4 linked regions of the Drosophila melanogaster genome follow. The protein of the gene in region 3 interacts with the protein of the main gene of each other region in a pairwise test. Each region holds a gene or a part of one and is shown on either strand. Other genes may lie near its edges.

Region 1 (4,628 bases), on a different chromosome or scaffold from region 3:
AATCTTTATAAGTAGAGATAAAATGGTTCGAATTCCTAATCAGCACTTAACAAAACTGCTTTTGGCCATTGCAAGCAATCGAAACAGTAAACGTTCGCAGGGTCTTAAATTTTATGTCTATCGGTGGAGAACAATCCAAATGTTCCACAATAGACATCCAAACCCTTGAGCTTTGTTCGAAGCACTAACTAAACCTCAGATTTGGCTCTCCGATTTTTCCAATTTCACTCAATATGTCGACGCATGCGTGTCGTAGTACCACAAGGAAACACTATGATTAAAAATGTCGCCACTGTGCCAGGAAAATCTCAATTTATCGGTACTCTCAGTTTTCAGCTATAACTTGGATTTTTGTCTCTTTAATGCTCTCTTTTTTCACCAGCTGATGGCCCGAAGTTATGGCTAACATCGCGCCTCTGTCGCCCAAAAGCGTGCTTCGGTTTTTCCTTTTAGGTTTTCCCTTGGCTGTTTTCCGCTGCCTTTCGTGAAAATGCCTTGGGTTGAGTTGAGTTTTTGGGTTCGAGGTTTAAGGTTGGGGATTTTTCGGGGTTGGGTGACCGGGAGCAGCGACTCTTTGTTGCTTTTGTTGGCACTCTGCTGCCGCTCCTGCTCCTCCTACTGCTTTCAATTCAATTTTTCGCCAGCTGTTGTGCTTAATTTGAACTTTAAGCATTTTCCTTGTTGTTGTTTGGGAATTTCCGGCTTTAATGCGGCATTTCTGCGGCTGGGCGACGAAAACAACTCAATGTGAATCGGAAAATGGAGAATAGGGAACCGATTTCGTAGCGTTAAGAAGTCCTTTGTGGGTCAACCAGTCAGCCTTTTAACCGCTAATGAAGACTTATTTCGCAGCACAGCAAAGGCAATGCACTTATTTATGGTTAGGCCGTAGTATTTCCCATCCGAAATATGGACCGGTTGACAGTATAAATAATGTGTTCCTTTGCCAGAATTTATGGCACTTGTATGTCTTCTGGTCTTCGGCATCCACTTGGCTGCTATAAATTAGAGCCACCGACCAGTCCGACCTTAAATGTGAAGTGCGTGTGTGTATGGCTACAGGATCTCCACCTCCAACCACATCCATCCACTCCCCCTCAAATACGCACACACACACACACACACACGCATTCCCGACACGCAACAAAACACACAGATACCATTGGTACACTTGTATTATGGCAGCGGCTTTTGAGGTTTTAAAGCGTTTTGAGGTGACACATAATGATTAGCCAGCCATTAATTGCTTAGCACTCGAGGCACTCGATTACACTAATTAGGCGTCTTATTAACCTTAAACACATACACAGTTACAGAACTCCTTCGGGGCATTCGTATTTATTACGTGAGGGTTCTTAAAACTACAATCTTTAATAAATTCCTTTATAAATTCTTATGAAATTGTGCAGCAAAGGCAGCAGGGACGAGGTCCGTGGTGATGATGGGGCGGTCCATGGTGATGTGGCGGTCCATGGTGGCCTCCATGATGCGGGGGTCCGCCATGATGCGGTCCTCCATGTCCATGGCCTCCGGGTCCTCCGTGTGGTGGTGGCATTATTCAGATATTTTTGCAAACTTTGAAAACCGTGCGGTTGGGTCCAACTCTTATAGGCAACTAAATCCATATTGTCAGGGTAAATCTAATCAAGACCTGCCTCATAAAGATAAGTACTATCTAATCTGTATAGTATTGCTTGCTAATCGATAGAAGTGTTAGTTAGCACAAACATGGGAATATTATGATGACCATGGCGATGAGTAAGGCCTTGTAAATGCTGAATTAGTCATGACAAATAAAATGAGGAAAACCCCTCTAAGGTCTCCTTCTGAGATAGCCATATGTACAATTTTTTTTTGCTTCTAGTTTTTAAGTGATAAGATTAAGCTTCCAAAATTATAAAAAGTACACTACCGCTGGGACTTTGTGAAATGTGCATTTTCTCTATTGTACACTTAAAATTTAATAATAATTCAAAATAACATAACCCAAGAGATAACAAATGTAACTTTCATTGGTAATCTATTCCAAGGTATTTCCGATTTTCTAAAAGGTTTGTTGGTAAATCGATAAGATAATGGCTTTCAAATTTTGCGGAATTATGTGCTTATAAGACCGCCCAATCGATCAACATTATTCTATGGAAATTCAAATACGAATTCGAATGTTCTTAGAATACACGACTTATTGGCTTTCTTCTGAAACCGAAACTCCATTTGTACTTTATTTACTGCCCTTGCCAATGAAGGCAATAGTACTTAATAATTGTAGAATACGAACTTTCCACCAATCTGATTTTGTCAATTTGCCATTGAGATTGCTATAGTGCATATATAGTTCATGCGAGTGGAGCAACTTGATTTTAATTCCTGATAAAGAAAAGGCAGCCGTGGCCATGTAACTATTTACTTTCCCCATGACATGACCCAGAAAAGTATGGCGAAAATTCGCCAAGCCAAGTGCAGGCACATTCGGCAAGAAAACGGATGGAGCAAGACCAATGGCTTGGCTTTTTGAATTCAATTAATTTTATCTGCATCAGTTTTCCCTTATAATCGCATCCCAGGGCTGCTCACATGCGAAACGGAAAACGGCTAAAGGACTGAAGGACGAAAGGACGCTTACTCGAAAAAAGGACCGCAACTCGTAAAATATATAAAGTCATTGCAAAAGCCAATTTGTATATCAGCGTTGGCGGCTGAGGCCCGGCGATTATCAAACTGCGAAACTTACTTAAAATGCCCTCAAAAGGGGGTTTCCCTTGCCAAATGGAACGGTGAAGGGGAGTTGGCCCTGCTTTCATGGTAACAATTACATTTCACAGATTTTCGTTTGGGGTCGCGTGTGCCGTTGCATGTTGTTGGTGCGGTCGCATTCGCGTCCGCTTTTCGCGTTCTTTATTTCGGGCTTAAAGGAGCTTACATTATCGCCGGGTTGGCAAAAGGCAAAACCCACACACCGGCAGGCGAATTTCCACTGGCTGATGGGCGACGTCTAAATATGAGAATGTTGTGTGAAAATGTTTAAAATCCACGCGAGCCTCTCCGAGCGCAAATGCTTAGCACGCCATAAGTGTCAGCCAGCCATGATTGCCTGCGGTTTTCCCAGTGTATTTTCCCGTCTGTTCTATATGTGGATACAGTTGCGGTTACATAAATAGTGCTAGATCTATATAATATGTTTTGTAAACAAAATGGTTCGGTTTTTACCCTAAGACTTATGGTATTTATTAGTTTTGTTTTGTTAGTTATTTTTGGCTACAATACATTTCATAATACTTAATAACTTTTTAATTGTGGTTCATATTCGCGTTATACTTTTTTTTTGGTTTTTTTTTAACTATTATAAAAACTACTATTAAACTGATCGCGGCTGTAAATGTGTGGGTTTTATTCCTTTGGCCAAGGAGTGGCCACTTTTGCATACCTCCCCCTGAAAATAGCGTGGCGGGCGCTAAGAAAGGAAGTAAATAGTGGAAAAGGCATAAATAATAGCAAATAATACGGCGACAATGCGCACAAATTTGCCGCTAAAGTGTAGTCATTGTCGAGGAAAAAAAAGTAGAAAAAAAAATTAGAAAAGGAGTCCTGTGCGTGAGCTAAGCCACAGGACCTGCCTTTGCTTTTTGCATGATTTCGCTGTTTAAATTTATTACACATTAGATTTATGATCGCGTTGAGTTGCCCCTACTTCCCGCAACACTCCTCACTGCTTATCACTGCCCTTTGTGGTGGCTTTAATTTCATTGTTACAACTTCTATTTGAACTGAGTGTGAAGCATAATTTATAGGTGACCGTGTGGCGAGTGTGTGCAAGTTTTTAAGTGATTTCTTTCGCTCGGGTGCCACTGGGCATGCACAATTATTGGGTGGCCTGTGCCACTTCTGTCACTCGCCTTGCGGTCAAATTTCCACAGAGGGTTTCCCCCGGTTTTCCCCTAGTTTTCCCATTTAATCACAGGTTTTGGATAGCCTTGCGTGGCTTTTAAGCGCTTATTAGAAGTGTGACAGAATTCGAAGTTGAAGAGGAAACGGAGACGCCCCCTCACTTGCCACTTCCATTTGACACACACGAAGGCCCACACTAATAATATGGGGCAAGCATTAGTTGTGCCTCGAAATACAAACAGTTGTGAATTAATGAAAACTTTAATCAAAATATGAGAAAAGAATTAAACAACACGTTTTACGGCTCATTATAAATGAACTAGGAAAAACAAAGAGCAAACAAAATAGTTTATGGAAAACCTAATAAATCATAGGAAACGTTGAAATTTACTTTCTTTCAAAATACTGATGTTAAGCAACACATATCATCGAAACATATCGGACTCCTTTCAACCCACACTTGTTTTAATCTTTATTAAATTTATAGTAAAATTAACAGCCAAGTTTTAATAACACTTTAACACTTACTTTATCAAGTTGTACACAATACTCATTTTAAGAGCGTGAAAACGATACCCATTAGAATTTTGGCAAGGTCTACATCGCAAAACTAGTGAATACAAGAAGCCAAAATGACGTCGATTGTGGAGATGCCAAGGGCAAATTTAGAGGAGGCCTTGCCACCATGGATGAAGATAGACTGGTCGGACGAGGTGCTCCACGACATTTACAGGGACTGGGGA
Region 2 (5,411 bases), on a different chromosome or scaffold from region 3:
GCATAAATCCAATCAAATTGACAGCAAGTCAACGCTGACAGGATCTACATACTCATTAGGCACTCTGAAATGCGCCTAGTCAGGGAAAATGTATATTCAATTTGCACAGTTTCGTTAATATACATGTGGGTAAAATAGAGAGAGGAAAATATATTTTGGTTAGCGGGAAATCATTAAAAATGTATACATTAGTTAAAATGAGTTTTTGCTGTTAAAAAACTAATGGAATTGCAGAGAATGGAGCGCAACTCGTTGCCTTTGGAATGACTCAGGGCTATTTGAATGTGCACACTTTCATTTAAATAACCATGAGCTTTTTGACATCAATTCCACCAGCACTTAAATTATTCATTTTCATTATTGTTTGCCATTTGCCCAATTAAATTGGCCACAAGCAGACTTTATGTTTATTCATAATTTATACATTGGATTTCACAATATTAAATGAAAGCCACTTGACTGCGTTGGTCAAAAGTCTAAATTGTATACGGCTGATTGGCTTGAATAGAGCTCAATGATCATTGGTGAAATTTGTCAAAACAATCGCAAAAACACGGTGGGGAATATATAACACAATTATTTTATTATTTTATCCATTTGTTAATCGAAATATATAGGCAGGCTGGTTGGCAGCGCGGGCTTTTGGTCTTGAAAATGCAGTCTGGCGGCAAATTGGTAGTTTATATCGTATGAAATTTATTTGGCCCGTAAAATGCAATCTCAATGCCAGCCGAAGGGAATTTCTGAATTTCTATCCTCCTGTTTGTTTTTTTGGGGGGCAACAAATTTGCCATATCTTAATGGAGAACAAAGACACATAGACCAGCTCACGGCTCTGTGGACTTGACTAAGGGAAGCCGAGCAAATATTTATTTGGACTTTTGTGTCCGCCAGTGGGAGGAATATTACTTATCCTTGCTACCCAGGACCTCCATTTGCACCTGAACACTGGCTGGGCAAATGCAGCTGAGGCTGCAGCACTTAATGTTTATTTTAATTGAATTGTTTCTGGGCGAACTTAGCCATGGCCCAGTGGAGACTAAAAGTTGTAAATTAGCAGCTAATTGTATATGCAAATTAAATTGCACTGCCTCTGCATGTGGCACTTAAATCATAATTTAGGCGTATTTAATATTTATTTGAATTTGCTTCTCCAAAAACATGGTATCTGGGCAACAGAGTGGATTTAATTGTATTCATATAATTTTTATTAAGACTGACTACTAATATTTTCAACTCATTAACCACCAATGTGTAAGCCGTAGCAAATTCTCCTTTCAGCCTTGTGTAAATTTTGGCCAAGTTGATTTGCATGAGTGGAAAGGCCAATTAAACAGACACACTGTTGGGAGAATTAACAAAGCGTCATAAGCTGACCCACACAAGCAAGTTGGCAAACAATGGCAAATGCGCAAACAGAAACATATTGGTCAAGTTGAAGGCTCAACCACGCCCCCATTCCGCCGGGCGACAGTTAATAGATTTATGCAATTGATGTTCCCTGACTGCGATAAACTCAACAAAGTGGCATAAAGCTCGGGTAATTTCCGCCGCCTGATGGACGGAGGACTCGCCGGGCGGAAGGACCTCGAAACGTCCATCAAAAACTGCGACCAGAACTGTACTGATAAGATATGAAAAGCAATTTACGTTAGCTGTCAGCGACAAATGCGCCCTCGTTTCGATTTATTTGCACATTTCATTTAACGACGATTACGTTCATTGACACTTTAAAGCCGTCGCTAATTAATGCGCCTGATTATGTGGTCGAAGAATATGACATATCCATAAATGGGCGAGAAATACGTTTTGCGGCTGACATTTTTCGAGTGCTCGCAATCGCAGGAGGCGTTCACACAGAATATTTTGTGATCGCCAACATGCTTTAGCAGCAGACTGTGGGGCCTCTTGTTCAACACCCGGAAATTGTCGCTGTTGTTGAAGGACACACGATTCTGGTGCCAGTCGAAGTAGCTGAGATGCAGATTCGATGGCCTCAGCTTCGTTCTGCCCTCGAAAATGGCCCGCCAGTCTACGCAGCTTGTAGAGTTCTCGAATCGCGACTCGCGCAGACTCTGCTCCAGGTCCAGAAAGCTGGAGATCTCTAGACCCTTCTTCGAACGCATCACCAGGTAGACGACGGTCTAAAAATTACAAAATGTACACATTTCACTACACATAAATGTAACCTTCTAACCGAAATTTGCTTTTCGAGCAGCTTCTTCTCTCGATTGGCAAACTGTTGGAGCACCTCATCTTTGTTGTTCAAGTAGTCTCCAAAAAGTTGGAGTCCTCGTAGTCCCCTTGGCTTTAGAAGCACCAACTCTTTCTCCTTCCGCTGGTAGAATTGCTCGCGGGTGAGCAGATTACCCAGGCAATTCTTACCGCAGGCATTCTGGATCAGGTTCCTCTGGATCTCTTTGTTGCCCAAATAGCGAGTGTCCTGGATGGTTATGAAGCTGTCTACATAGTCCTGGTAATGATTAAAGTTAATCAGATTCATTCCGCGCGAAACTCAAAAAACTAAAACTGAAAAGCTGCTGAATGGCAAGAAAACTGTGATTTCGTGTAAATCAAAATGTATAATATTTTGAATAAGTTCGAGCAAAATACATTACTGACAACAAACTGCCAACTTTGGCTCAAAAGGCAAAACTTTTGCTGGGCCTGAAGAAGCAGAGTTGTTCTCATATTCAATTTCGAATGAAAGTAGCTGAGCACAAAAAATATTCCTTCTAATTTTCGAAACTCGTGAAAAAGTCTTATCTTAATTGAAATTTGTTTGAGAAACTGATAGCCGGAATGGTTTGTAACAATTTGTAACAGCTTTAATTTCATGTGCGCACAAATAATTAAACATTTCCCACATAGAGTTCCCTTGGCAGAATCCGCTGCGCTGTTCGTGTGGCAAATTTAATAAATGGAAAAAGTTTCACAATGCCCAAGCCCCGACTGTGCCCTTGTCCCTTTTAGCCCAGAACTGTGAGTATTTTCAATTACACTTCCCTATGTGCCACGCCCTCTCCCGCCGCCCATCAGGGGCATTTCGCATATTAAACTAATTACTTCATCAACATTTTAAACTGCCAGCCAGCCAAAGGGAAAATTTGCATTTTCAGCCTGTGCGTATGCAGCGCTCTTTGTCCTTTTCCGCCTGATATCCCGTTGAGCGCACACTGTCGAGGATTAGCAGTCTAACAAGTGACACCTAGTGTTCCGCACATCGCCCTATGAATCCCAAGGACTTTCAGATCAGATCAGATTTACACATAAACGGTAACCAGTTGATGAACTTGCAACGAATAGTTTATAGTCAACTAAAAAATGTACCCAAGTCTATGAAATTGTACAGGATACTGTAACCTGCCTTAAAAATAAATCACTTTCAAAGTTCCTTTCGCCATTTGAGATTAATCACCAGGTAAACCAATTAAAACAATGCCAACAGCCGCTGCTAATCAGCCATAATTTATATATCAAATAGGGTGTGTAAGATGTCCTGCACTTCCTGGCAGATTTCCAGCTCGCTTTTCAATTTCCACACACAATACGCAGCTAGATTTTCCCCTTGCCTGCGTGAAGGTGTGTGTCTGTGTGAATTTACGCTATTTAGACACGCTTTCCCACTGTTTGCAGTTGTTGCTGTCGTCGCTGCAGCAATTAACATGCAGCCGCTGCCGACACTTGGAGCTCAGTGCTCCTCCACGTGCAGATCCCCCTCCATAGTTTTCCTCTGCATTTTCCCAAGCCTTCTCACAATTTCCCTTCCCTCCCCCCTCTCCATCACTTTGGGGCAACAACTGCTGTTCCGTTTTGCATGCTTTGTCACCATCTTGCCGCTTGCCGCCGTCTTGAGCGCGTAAATTGCTACTTCGTGGGCCAATCCTCCTGCTCCCCGCTGAAGTCACGACATACCCACTTCCCGCCAGTCTACTGGCAGGACCTACAGGACCGCCAGGACTGCCAGGACTCGCATTTCGCCCGCTGCGTCTTGGCCGTGGCCATTGTTTGACTTGGTCATTAGTAAATGTACTTTGTCGCAGCATAAAAAGGAGTTAAGTGCGCACTCTAAGGATTTATGTGCATTACCAAAGAATGAGGCGGCAATGCTCAATGCTGCCTCGGGAAAGTCGAGGCTGCTTTTGCCATGTGTTAAGTGCACATTTCTGATGAATGAGTCGGCTGGCTGCAACTGCATTTCAATTGCAGAAAGTGCTGAATGGACTGAGGGCTGGAATTTATAGTTGAGCAGTTGCCGTCATTATCGCACAGGGCATGCCAATCATCCACTTGAGCAGTTGCATAGATTGAAGTTATCAGAGAACTTCTAGATATGTAAATCATATTTTTTCAAGCATTCATACATTTCGAGCATGACAATGGACATGATTGCCGAAAAGCGTAGAAAAGCATACTGCTTGCATGTGCAAGTCAACCAGGAAGGGGTTTTTATAATTCCTATTTTGATTTCATTTTGCAGACCCCTAACTACGAAACTCCCAGATTTTCTGTGTAATCCCATCGCCACTCTGGAGTGCAATTTCCTTATTATAATGACGCTTGGCAGTGGTAGTAGTGCCACATGTCCGGCAAATAAATGGCTTACAGCCACGAGTCCTTTGAACTGTTGGCAAATGCTAACACAAATTATCAAGTTACCATAAATTGCCCTCGCCCGGGCCGTACATCTAGCCAATGAAATCAAAGCCACATAAATTGCGCAAATAATTCTGCCCTCTCTCGGCATTCTCCACTTTTCTCCAGGGAAAATGGAGCCCAACGAAACGCAGCCAAGACAAAGGACGGACCAAAAGAATCATCACTTACAACTGACCACAAAGCTCCACAGCCACATCCATAGCCCGTCCATTCCACATCCACGTCCGCATCCACATCCACATCCCTTGGGAGCGGTGGTCCCGCAATCGATCAAAAGGAATTATGTCTCAACACAATTGTAAATAAATCTTTGCGGCCATGTGGACATCATGTGCATGCCGAGGTCCTGGCCGAAGGATTTGCCCAAGCGGGCAAAAGGGAACTGGGCAAGATGGGACAGCCTCAAATCCTGCATATCATAGACACTGGGTATATGAAGATTGAGTGGTAATGTGTGCAAATCTAAAGCTTTCCTCCCCAGTATGCCCCGATTTTGCCTAATGCGGCTGCTTCGATTGCTGTCCATCCGTTGACATGTTGGTAAATTGCTCCTTAGCTGATTGCATCGATTTTGGGGACTGGGTCTTAGACAGAAACTGGGGAATTAAGTGTAAATGCCGGAAATTAATCTGCTCAAAGGGAGACAAAAGCAGCAATGGGCCCGAGCCCAAATGCAATATTATTCAAAGTGATTTTACAAGTGCCGTTGGCGGCAGTAGGAAATCGCCCCGTTGTCCGGTTCCTTTTCAGAG
Region 3 (6,136 bases):
TATTGTTCTTTTTGGTAGCTAATCTTAAGCATTAGAGCAACGAAAACAATCTACGTTCTTATAAAAACGGGTAAAAAAACAATATATCTCAACTACGATCCTCGAGTTACAGCAAAGATACTGGCTTACAGCAGAAACTTGTCATTGTGCATAAACACGAACTCGCTAGAGAGCCGCGTATCTATATCTATGACAATCCAGGTTCCACAGTCCCCGAAAGAATCCAAACTAGTGCACTTCATTACAACACTTCCTTAACCAAATATCACATTGCATTCTGAGCTTTATTGGAAATACATGCCTACGTCTTGCACGCGGTGTAGGTCTGGACACTTGGAGTGCAGGCGCCCTGCTGGTCGTCGAAGAAGTAGTTGCCGCAGGACCTCTCGCTCACGGTTACCCCGTCGGAGCAGCTCAGATAGTTGCGACAGCCCTTGGTGGCACTAACGACAAAACTAGCAGTCCGACCGTCGCAACGATCGTGGGAGCAATAGACCGAACTGGGGGTTATGCACATCTGGCTGCTCGCATCGAAGAATCTGTCCTGGGGACACTGGTTCCACACCGGATTGGGGTCCGGGGTGCCATCCTTCTGCTTGGCGCAGTAGAAGTAGCCGCGACAGGTGGCTTCATCCGCGACGAACTTGTTCTCGTAGGGCTTACTGGCCTTGCCGCAGACATCCGTGGGCAACGGATGGGCATCGCAGTCCACCAGAGCCTTGGACACACACTCGCCCGTGCTGGCCTGATAATAGGTTTTCGAGCATGTCTTGTCCTTCAGGACGCCCTTCTCACAGACGTGATACATATTGCAGCCCTGCAGATTGTCGAAGTTTACGCCGTTCTTAACAATGCTGCAGTACTCGAAGGTGCTGGTGGTGCAATCCGATTCGTGTTGGCGGGAGCACATCTGGGTGGTGGCATTGAAGTGCGTCTCCTGCGGACAGGTGCCGTACAAGGCCGTCTCCTCGTCCGCACAGTAATAGTAGCCGTAGCAGGACTTGGGGTCGGCCACGAATTGCTTGGCCCGATCCGCGCAGGATATCGAGCAGCTGGACGTGGAAGTGGACAGTGACTTAACGCATTTGCCCGTGTCCTTGTCGAAAAACGGAGTAGATCCCGTGCATGTACTGTAGTAGCTGACGGAATCGATGCACGTGATCGATTGACTGCAGGATTCGGGATCTCGGATCACCGTATTATTGGAGAACAAGCGGCAGATGTCCTCATTCCGGCCATTAACCACATCTAGGCCTTGAAGCAGTAGCACCAGTGCCACGCCCAGTATGGCACCAAATTCTGCAATTTGAAAAAACAATAAAGTTAGATTTACACCACTGGCAGTTTGCAATCCACTCACTTTCCATTACAGCTCAACTTTGGACAAAGCATAAACTCGTACTGAATCTGAACGTCGACCTGCGATTACTTATAAATATCAGAGGATAAGCAGCAATCACTATTTGCTGGCAAGATAAGCGGATTGGTTTTTGAGGGGTATTCAACTGGGTAAGATGGGTTAAATAAAGATGAATAGAAGTCATTTGTTAAAAGCTCGAAGATTACAATCAAATGTATTGATTTTGCTTAGGGATTTGCTATATAATATTTTTGAAAAGGTAAATGATAGAGCACAAAAAATGGGAATGTTTGATAAAATTGTATTTATAAATTTAATGTTTTTAAGGAGCATTCATAAAATTTTACTTCAGAAAAAATTAATTATATTTTTCGTTGCTAAAGTACTGGGTGATTTCTAGTCGTAGTGAATGGTGATTTTATAAACAAGTTGGAGATTGCCAATTGGCTACCGGTAAATTAAATAGGAAGTAGATAAGTTATCATTTCGGCCAAAAAATAGTAATAAAATGAAGAGCAAGATCAGCTGGTTTAATTCATAAGGCTTAGTGGGTTAATAGAGAGCTTCCCTTCTTTATTATAAAAAAAAAAACATTTTTAGTACTCTACCAATTAAATATAAAAAGTAAATAAGCACGTAGCTTGAACTATTTTTTAAGAATTTAAATTACTTCGAAAATGCCTTGTGATTTGGAAAAAGTATCGAGTAAAGTGTTTAAATGTCATTGCATACTTATGGGCGAATTTCTAAACGGACAAAACTCGCTTTTAGGCGAAACAATAAAATAAGGCGGATAGATTTAAAATAGTTTAACGGAAAATAAAACTGACTAAAAAAATGGGGTTTTTGTTATTAAACATTAACATCAATTATTTTTATAGATTATATAGATAGATAATAAAATTTCAAAATACTTGCATATAATTGTACTATTTAATTATGCATACAAATAAATAAATATATATAACTCATAATTTCATAATTTCATAGTGCGATTTATTTATTTTGTATTTCAGTTCAAACGGTTCTTTTGGACAAGTTATTAATATAAACATTTGTAGTTCGGTAATTTTTCCCCAGAACCTGATAACCTTCAGAGGAAAGTCTAGTCAAGTCAAGTCAAGAGTCGCAGTGCGATTCAAATTGAGATATCTAACTAATGTCGTGTTGCTGAAATGAGTGCCGAGATACCAGGGAAACACCACTGAGTGATCAATAAGAGCCGTGACACTTTCCCGCCTCCTCGAGCTTCTTCGAAATTAAAAAACAATTATAGACAAAGAGGGTTCGCAATCAGCAGCTGATAATCCAAATTCCGGCGCGGCTGTCAACGTATAAAAATATATATAAACTATATATACATACTAAACTAAGTATGTATGGTGTCCGCTGGCCAAGAATCGATTTGAGCTTATAAGCCAGTCCATTTTGGCCGGGTCCGCTAGTTTCACTTTCGTCGTCCAACGCCTTCGAACCGCCTTCAAGCTAACCCAACAACTTCGGAGGGATGCAAGGTGCGTGGTTTACCCCAGACCTTAGAATCTTATCTAGCATTAATTTCGATACTAACGCCCTACTGGCGGCTGGCTTATCTGGCTGACAATTTTTTAATTACCCACCCAGTTCGCGCCGCGAATTGTCAACTATAAAAACGCAAAGGCTGCAATTGATTGAGTTAGTAACGAAATCGGAACGTTCGCTTCGGTCGTCTGTCTATCAAGTGAATTTGTCCCCGAAAAATATTAGCATTCCAAGATGGGAGGTACGTTGGCTCGAAGAACGGATACAGTTATCTCAGGTGCACAGTATTCAAGACGTCTTGCTTCGACTAAATTTTGAAAAGTGGTTTCAAACATGGTTTTAAGGCCCTGAAATTCTCCTGCAAAGGAGATGACTTTCAAAAATGGCTAAAATGACTTTCAAATTTCGATTTGTTACTCAAATTGAGTTTTTCTTTCGTCCTTAATTGATTTTTTATCCAAAAAAAGGGCTGCCGTGTTGGCTACAACAAAGGCTTAACCAATTTTAGAGACGCTAACACGAATTTTGGATTGAAAGCTATCAATTTTGTCGTTTCTAGCATAATTTCTTTGCATTATTAAGTACAAACAAAATAGAAAACTATTCGACGATTACACATGTCTATATTTTATTTAATAATTCATAGTTCGTATCCCCCTGTATCCCCCATTTAGCAATCAATATGAGGATCTGTGTCGTGGCCGCATGTCTCCTAATGGCATCGCAGGCCACCGGCTACACGATGGATGATCTGTGCCAACAGTGGTCGGGCTATGGATACATCGGCAATCCGAGCAACTGCCATGCCTGGGGATACTGCAAGAACCAGGAGGTTGTGGCCTGGGGCACCTGTCCCAACGGCTTGGTGTTCAACGCGCAGGCCGGCAGCTGTGATTACGCTAATACCACGGTGTGCTCCACCAGTGCCGTTGAGACATGCTCCAACGTCAAATCTCCCATGTATGTGGCCAATCCGTTGAACTGCACCGAATACGCCTACTGCGATGGCACAGGCCAAATCTCCTATGGCGATTGCGGCACCGGCGGCGTCTATTCGGCATCCTCCACAAAATGTATATGGGGACCCGCCTGCCCGCAGGACACCATCTGTCGGTTCATGTTGTCCAACATCTTTGTAGGCGATCCGAACCAGTGCGGCAACTACATCAACTGCGTCAACGGCTATGGCACTTCCGAAAAATGTTCCAGCACCGCCAATCCCTACTATAATAAAGCCACTGGCAACTGCCAGTCGACGAATCCGTGCACCGGCGAAGATTCAAACAGTGGAAACTCTGACCAGTTCACTGTTGGGCAAACAAATGCAACTGCTTGTGACGAAGAAGCTTTTAAAGCAGCAGATCCACTTACTGTAAATGGGGAATCTGTTGACTATAGGTACGTTTCTGATGGTGTCACCTGCTATGGGTACTACTACTGTGCAGCAGTAAACGCCACTGGCTATTGGAACCAATGTCCCACCGGTACCCAATTCAATGCTGGCAAGTGCGTTTCGCCAGCCTCCTTTGTCTGTACCCATAACCGATGTGGGAACGTTAACAATCCATTCATGGCAGATGAGGGTTGCAAGAACTACACAATCTGCTCCAGCGGAATAACCGGATCATGTCCCACCAATGCGCCGTACTACGACGAGGTGAACAATATCTGCACCACCAAAATTCCCGATTACGCCATTTGTAATTCGACGGCTAGTACATGAGCATCTCCTCCAGCCACGTCTGTTTGCCGAGATACCTTTTATGAAATATATAAATAAATACCAATGCTGAAGGCATTCAAAAGAAACTAATAAAAATGTTGACTTCGACCAAGCGAAATTTGTTTTAAATGTTGTTGTTTTTGAAATTGTTGATTAGTTGTTCGCCTTTTTGGTAGCAAATCTTTCAAAAAGAGGCTCACAGAAAATGTGCCTCAAAATATAAATATAATTTCTGCGGGATGGGTATTTGTAAATGTTATCTGCCAAGCTAAGTTAATTAAATAATTAATTAAAAAAATTCAATGGCCTCCATCTATTGTATTAGAAGAAGGTGGAACAGTAAAACCCCATTGCTTGGGAAATTTCTGGAGAAGTTACTTGATTGACGTCAGCATTGAGATATTGTTTTGAATTCAGTACTTCAAAGCCTAGTATTGTAGTAGGCTGCTCCTTCTACCCTCTTCCTTTACTCTTAGTCATACATACCTAATTATACATAGCCAATCTAGTCATAAGCTTATACACTCATACACCCATCCTTAACATACAAATATTATCGAGAAACTTATCGACTAATCGACTCGCCACTCTGCAGAGAGCGCGGCAGTCAGTCGCTGTTGAACCAAGCTAAAGGACAGATCAAAAATAAAAGAGACACGTGAAATTGTATTAGAATATTAACTTCTGTAAACGGCGGCTAAAATCTCAGAAGTGGGATTAATAATCCAAAATGGACGATAAAATCATCCTGAACGACTTTTCGCTGACAACCCTAAAAGATTGGCTACGTATTCTGGGCCAAAATACGGAGGGCACAAAAACCGAATTAATCGCGAGGCTGCAAGACATCCCAACGGCAGTTCGGGGCGATTGTCCACCGGAGCACCCCCAGAAAAACGCTCCACCAGGAAACGACATTTTTTCTTCACTGGATTTTCAGAATTGTGAAATTAACACCGATCACGTAAGTGTGAATGCGATGAACAGAAAAGAATCAACCGAAACTGGCAGTGAGAGGGAGACAAACATGTTCGAGCTACAGCAACTACGCGCAGAGCTAGCAGAAGCGAAGGCAATGCTTAACGGAACACGATCGAGCTTGCAGTTCCAAGAACAACAACAACCAGAGCAAAGCAAGGCTACAGTTAGTTCCGTTATCCAGACGGCGCAGTTTACGCAGGCTGGCGCCACAAAAGAGAACACAACATTTCACTCGCCGCAGCGATCCAACGAGAGAGCGGAGAGCCAGCGTTTTCCAGTTGATGCTCTCGCTCTCGCCAAAGAGACGATAACCGATTACGATGGGAAAACTTGCGCGCGTGCCTGGATAACAGTGGTCAAAAATATCGCACGCACTTTCAACATCGATGACAACCATTTACGCATCTTACTCATCACTAAACTTAAAGGAAACGCGCAAGTCTGGTTACATGCGCACCCTGCTCGATTGATCGAACCAATTGACAATTTGCTTGATCAATTGTCATTGACTTTTGGCGAGCAATCATCCAAGGCTGAGATCCGGCGAAAAT
Region 4 (6,656 bases), on a different chromosome or scaffold from region 3:
CCACTGCAAGAGGAATCATTAGACTTTGACACTTGAAGCCCGGCTAACTTCAATTCAACATTTCAACGATATTGAGATGCTTCCCTTCGTTTACAAATACAATTCTAAAGAAAATTTGGACGTTTTTATGAACTCACCGTCACTATATTGCCAGAAGCTTAGATGGTCTTCTGCGTTGCCCGAGTGGGCTAGTATGTCTTTTACAATTACGCTGATCTGATCTTTATCCGTTGATTTGGGTGGAGGCGATGGGTGTACGTCCTGACCGACAGCGTCTTTGCAGTACACCGCTTCTGGCACCTTTTCCAAGGAAACGGACTGCTTAAGGGAACTCGCCGGCTTCACAGTCTGCATCTGCTGATCTACCATTGCGCCAGACAATAACGATGACCCCGAGCCAGAGTCCATCAGAGTGGGCGCCTGGTACAGGCACAAGGTACTATTGTCATCCAGAGCTGTGTCCAGATCTGTGTGCTGTGTTAGTGTCGAGTTTGAGTCCTTTTTTATAAAAACCGATCTTTTCCATCCATCCATCACATTCTCCATGGTGTCAGGATGGATGATGGGAATGGCGTATTTGCGCTTGCATACCTTATCGCTGTTGGCCCCCAGTTGCGGTGCTGTTGTTACTGACGGAGTTGGAAGCGAGGTGGTTGAAAAACCACTGGCCACCGCGGGAACTCCAGTCACACTTGGGACACTAGGTAAGGTGGTGGCGCTGTTGCTCTGCAAGTGCGGAGCAAATGTGTGCAGCCCGCCTGGTGGTTGGGGTGGCGGCGCCTGCATTCCAGCCGGAGCCAAAATAGGGGTCGTCATCCCGGCGGGCGGTCCCAATGCCAAACTGGGAATGCCAAAGTTGTGCGGCAGATGATGAAAAGCAGCAGCTCCGTTCAGTGCACCGCTGCGCGAGTTCATCATTGGAGCCACATTTGTCGGAGCGGGACGTTGGGCATTTCCTGGGGCCATGGTATATGCGGTAAAGTAGTTGGTATGTTGGGCGGTGGGAGTAGATCTTTGCCCTCCGCGCATATTGCCGCGATGTGTATTGGCACCACTAACCACGTTGTTTCCAGCAGAGTTTTGAGCGTTCGGCCCAAGTTGGTAGTAAGCTAGTGTCGGCGTTTGAGCAGCTCCCGGTGCCCCGCCTGGACCTTGTTGTTGAGCAGTGGGAGGAAGCTGTTTCTGTTGTGGAGGAGGTGGCGCAGCCGCATAGAATGAAGCTCCAGCCGCTCCGTTAGTGGGAAAGGTCACAGCTGGCTGCATGCCCATCAGAGGTCCGGTCTGATTAATTGGTATATAGGTGGCGGAAATGTAGGGTCCACCCGCATTTCCGCCGGCAGGTGCGATCAGGCCAGCTGATTGTTGAAAGTGGGGTGGTAGAGTTGGGTTGCTCAGGGCACGAGGCATGTTTGACCCCGGCGCCACGCCATTTGCTCCACCATGGTGACCACCAGTAAGAGGATGTCCCAACGTGTTGGAACTGGCGGCGGCGCTCAGTTGGAGGGTAGCGCCGCCGCCGTTGGCACTGTTGTTAACCGCCGCGGAATGCGCGGCGTAGGACGGCTGGGTATTGTAGAAGATGACCGGCTGGTGGTGCGCCTGGGCCTGGGCTTGCACCTGCTGCTGTTGTTGCTGTTGGATGTGTTGCTGAAGATGAGCGGCGGCGACGGCTGCTTGTTGTTGGTGTTGCTGCTGCTGCTGTTGCAGTAAGTGCTGCTGCTGGTGGTGGTGCAGGCCGCTGTGGTTCGGGACGAACACTGCGTGGGACTGCTGCTGCTCCTGCTGTTGCTGGAGGTGATGGTGGTGCGAGTGCGTCGCCTGGTGATGCTGGGCTTGATGGTTGTGGTTCTGCTGATGTGTCGACTGTGGCCTGGTTCCCTTCCCACCCCCTCCCTGTTGAGGGAACATAGGAGGACCTTCGAAGGATCTGCACACGCATACAATCGCACCGTCACACGCACAGGCACACACGGAGAGTTAGGAAAACCGCGGCCAGAGCAAAACAGATGTACAAATCGTAATGTTAGTAAGATGGAAATGAAAGTGAAAATGGAGTTGGCGATGTGGAAAATGCTTGGCGTATTAGGTTTTCAGTCAAAGCCGTGAGTACATGCGAATGAGAGTTAAATCAAACGTGTGCAAAAGCAACCAAAAATGATCATGCAAATTATGTGTTTACATCTTATGACTAAGGGCTATTTTACAAATGCACTCCCTCTTTTACCCTTTTCTTTATTCTTTAATATTTCAATCAATTGAGCTCTTTAATTGGAATGTGGTGTATGATGTCACTCGCGGGGCGTGTATACATCCAAAATGCTTTCGAAGATGGCTCGACACCTTATCGCGCCGGTTTTATCAATGGACTAGTCACTTGCGCAGCCTAAATACTTGTACATAGGTGACACACGGTAACAAGTGGCGCTATTAGTCAGTACTGGCCTTAAAGCGGAACAAAACAAAGGCAGCCACAAAGAAGCAGCTGCCAGCGAGCGTAGGAGGTGAGCTATGGGCTGCTGTCGTCTTTATGGCTACAACCAGTTTGGCATTCCGTCAGCACTTCCATCGGCACAGTGGAGACCGCAAGAACTAGATCACTTAAAACTGTTTACGATATGATTTCTTTTAGTTATAATACTACCAAACGGAATTTCATTGTTGTTTTGCTAAGCAAGCGTTCAATGCTGATTGATAAGAATATGAAGACAAACATTGGCCAATATTCACTGTGGTGTTCTCTTTGGAGCTCTCTGCTGGCCTAGAAAAACCAACTCCGCTGCAGTTTGCGGCCAAGCACCTTCAAGCCAGAAGAAAACCAGTTTTCCAGCAGACGAAGTACGTGCATGGCTCTTTTCACTCCATGGCGAGGAAAACGAAAACCTGGCTGGCAGATAGGCTCACTTGTTTCATGTTTGTTTGTAAACAAAACCAGTTGGAGTGTGTGGGTGCTGCTCTAAATGGGATCGCGATCGCTTATTGGGAGTGCATTCGTACTGGAGGCAGTGTGTTATAGTAGTAGTAGTGTGTTATTAAACTAATAAACAAACAATTAATGTAAATTGCGTGAAAAAGCAAGCAAATACTAGAATGGGAGTAAGTTGTAAGTCAGATTTCGAAACTTACCGCTTCCTGTGCTTCGATTGGTAGATGTGATGATTATAAGGGTATTCGATTTATCCTATTTCTTAGTTCCTAAGGTAGACCTGCCTTTAAGCCTATCCGGCTTCCCTTGACACCTGGTCAAGCTCTACGCCTCCTCCTGCTGCTGCTTATTTGCTCCTCCGTTCCTTTTTCCTATTTCTCGTGGAAACTCCTCGTCTTTGTGGTTGTTGGCTCTATCCGGAATACTACAATAGCTCAGATATTCCATGTATAAAAATACTCCAATTCACTGTGATGCACATGCACATCTGCATTTGTGCAGACGGACGAGGGGCACGTACACGTACATGCGTACAAATATACAAAATAACGTACGGCTAGTGCTAAAATTTCACGGTAATTTGTTCTGTAATTAAAGGCGTTAGAGGAAGTTAAAACGTATGCTTAAATTTTGCAATTGCGAGGAATCAAAATTACAATATGATGAATATGAACACCAAAGCAGCGCCTGCTACGAATTTATTCCCTCTCCTTGTCCAGCTGAGCAGCCTCAGCCCCGGATTGAGAATGAGAAATGGGCAGCCAAGTGCCAATTCGTAATTTGACACTAATGGCAAGGGGACTTTTTGTAGGTTTTTAACCTTTTTCAGATTTTCAGGTAATACTTTTCCCCGAAAAGGCGAGGCGTTGGTTTATGTTTTTTTACCGTTTTGACTTTTTGCCGTTCGCTCTTTTTTTGCGCTCTCTCTGTCTCTGTCTGGCCGCCAGTACTTACCGTTCTGCTCCTGCTCGCTAGCACGCTCTCTCGCTCGCACTCCACACACAAAACTGAGGAAGGAAACAAAAAAAAATGCAGTTCCACGCGGGGAACACGCCAAAAAGTTGCTCTGGCACTGCGCCTTTACATTAGTGCATCGTCTGCTTCACCTCGTTATGTATACACGGCTCACTATCTGTTACAAACAATTTTGTAATGTAAATAGTCTGCAGAAACACGTCCGTTTCGTTTGATGAAATAAGAGTGACCGTTGCACGTAGGGATGGAACATAACTCGATGGCGGCAGCATCGATGTCTACGCAGCGAATATCGATTGTGAAAGTTCCAGAAATATCCCGCAGGAATATTATACATTTTAGTGCGTCCTCAAACCGGGGTGGAGAACTTGGATTCAAGCTTGGCGCGTAATATTTTGAACGTTCTTCATCATAAGAATAATCATTCTTTCGAAATAGAAAAATAGGCCTTATGCAGGTGTTATAATAACAATTATTATATAATGCGCATTGTGGTGCATGACGCAGAATATCATATAAATTCCACACATATTTCGCTGTTATTATTGTTTATTCTAACTTTACATTTTAATTTGAATGATATATTCATAATTTACGCATTCGTAGGACAGCATATGCGCAGAATCCTGTTTCCATTCCATTCGCAACTTCCGGATTGCCTCCCCTTAATGCTCTTAGACTACCCCTCGTGCAGAAATTGCAGTGTTTACGCGCTTGTAGTAAAAGTTTTGCTCTTTCTGTTTTGCCGGATGCGCAACGCCCTCCACTTCCCACATAATCCTTTACTCTGCGCCCTCACCTCCCTCTAGTATCCGTTTTTCCAATGCTATACCCTTCTCTACTTATTACTCCTTATCTCAGTATACACTATGGCCAAAACTTTAAAGTAAAACGAGTGCAAGAATGAACTCGGAGCCTTATTGCAGCCTAAAAAAATTATATACACATAGAGCCCACAAACAGAGTCTGAAGGGATTATTTGGTGGTTGAAAATGCAAAAAGACTAGACCGCAAATGCAAATATTTTAACTTGGCACAACGAAACCGCATACGGACTGTCCGTATTTTGCATTTTTTTTTTTCCATTTCAGTTGTGAAGTCATTTGCAATGCTTGTTTTCCTGTGCGTACTGTCATGTTTTTGTGGCCTTTGCGGTTGCACTAAAGATAGTGTGAGGACAACAGATGAGTAAATGGACGAGGCTCTTACTTTTTTTCAATAATTTTGCTCTCAGCACAAACATTTTGAATATAACGGTCGCTGAGTGCGCTACCTGAGCGGCAGGTTTTGACAATACAATTCGAAAATGAAATTGCAACACTTTCCGAAATTTGGATCAAAAAGATACGATTTTTAAAGTTTTATTTAAATTTTATACATTTTTCAAAGATAATATCGTCTTACATCTTATTAATTTATTTAAAAGTATACTTATTAATTGAATCCCCCTTAAAAAAAAAGCCTCTGCTTTTTGGTATATTTTGAACCCATAATGATTTAATTTGGTATTTCTTTCAGCACCGCATGGTATCTTTCGGGGACGCGAGTGCAGCCACACCAAAAGCGAATTCCTTTACTCCCGCTGCGGTCACACTAAGTCCGAAGCTTGATTCGCCCTGACGCGCGTAACGCTTTTTTCCCGCATCACTTTCCTCCACTTTGGCGCTGAAAAATTCTGCACAACAAGAAGAGAATGCACCAAACTGAAATTGCAACCGACTGCGACTACTGCACCTGAGCCGGTTACGAAATCAACTCTTATATTACTCATATAATTTTGGCATCCATGTAGAAACGAATAAAAATAGTGCGCGAACTGAAAACCCGTTAAAACGAGAATGGGCATAGCCCAAAATAAAACTTTTTCGTTTCTTTTTTACCGTTTATTTAACACAATCAATTAAAATAAAACCAAACACAAGATTTACTCAAAGTAAATCGCGTATAAGCTCGACTACCATAAATGTTAATGTGAAAATTGTGCAATAATTAGAGAAATTTCTAAAAGAAATTCATAAGTGCGGTATTCGTAAATTGCATTGTTTGCAAATGCAAAAAGCAAATGTTATGCAACTATAAGTTACAAGTTAAAACATACAAAAAGTAAACAGAAAATTAATAACCAACCGACAGTACATACAGATAAATGTATATATATAGCGAAGCAATGTGTGTATATAGAGCACTTTGAGACCTCGAAACAAGGACTTCGCCAAGGACTACGGATTACTACACTTTGCCGCCAAGCTCTTTGGCTGGCTTAAAGGAAACCCACCAAAATTAAGAAAACCTAATCTGAAACAAGGTCGAAGCGCGGAATTCCGAACTCCCACCTAAGCCCCACCCCCGGCCTGGAAGCACCTGTGCCCGAAAAACCAAAACCCCGGGCATTCTCACCCACGCACGCAAGCGCAGGATTCTGGTAACCGTCGAGGCATCCAAAAGTTCGATACGAGTGGAAAAATTTGGGAGCCAACGAAATTACTTTTGCTTTGATTCCGCCTTTTGTTTCAATCGCCCAGCCGAAAATGTGGAGGAAAGCGAGCAGGTTGGTCAGGGAAACCACCTCGTGGAAAACGCGTCGTCAGGGACAAGCGGAAGCCCCATCAGCAGCAGTAGCAACAATAAAACCATCGACAAGGACGAGCACGCCGATTGCCCACGGATTACCCATCATCATCACATGGTCGCAGCTCGCTATTGTTGCTGCTGTTGCAGTGCTCCTGCAATGCCACGTCTGTCAAGGTAAGTGAGTGGC

The links.
Region 1: the proteins of CG6933 (region 3) and CG15126 interact in a two-hybrid assay, tested with the Drosophila melanogaster proteins (one large-scale study listed by BioGRID).
Region 2: the proteins of CG6933 (region 3) and CG3528 interact in a two-hybrid assay, tested with the Drosophila melanogaster proteins (one large-scale study listed by BioGRID).
Region 4: the proteins of CG6933 (region 3) and eIF4G2 interact in a two-hybrid assay, tested with the Drosophila melanogaster proteins (one large-scale study listed by BioGRID).

The regions. Positions count from the first base shown.
Region 1 is NT_033778.4:19,687,772-19,692,399, reverse strand, and holds CG15126 (uncharacterized protein), read right to left. Parts: upstream 1,603-4,628; 5' UTR 1,556-1,602; coding exon 1,394-1,555; 3' UTR 1,322-1,393; downstream 1-1,321. Other genes in the region: CG15128 (uncharacterized protein), read left to right, coding at 4,518-4,628.
Region 2 is NT_033779.5:2,515,454-2,520,864, forward strand, and holds CG3528 (uncharacterized protein), read right to left. Parts: upstream 2,585-5,411; 5' UTR 2,504-2,584; coding exon 2,198-2,503; intron 2,145-2,197; coding exon 1,743-2,144; 3' UTR 1,649-1,742; downstream 1-1,648.
Region 3 is NT_037436.4:20,217,083-20,223,218, reverse strand, and holds CG6933 (uncharacterized protein), read left to right. Parts: upstream 1-2,798; 5' UTR 2,799-2,867; coding exon of another isoform or gene 2,868-2,874; intron 2,875-2,983; 5' UTR 2,984-3,115; coding exon 3,116-3,158; intron 3,159-3,555; coding exon 3,556-4,604; 3' UTR 4,605-4,717; downstream 4,718-6,136. Other genes in the region: CG17145 (uncharacterized protein), read right to left, coding at 302-1,299, 1,361-1,367.
Region 4 is NT_033777.3:23,815,104-23,821,759, forward strand, and holds the start of eIF4G2 (eukaryotic translation initiation factor 4G2), read right to left. Parts: upstream 4,135-6,656; 5' UTR 3,878-4,134; intron 3,717-3,877; exon of another isoform or gene 3,509-3,716; 5' UTR 3,124-3,508; intron 1,928-3,123; 5' UTR 1,909-1,927; coding exon 138-1,908; intron 4-137; coding exon 1-3. Other genes in the region: CG34355 (uncharacterized protein), read left to right, coding at 6,427-6,643.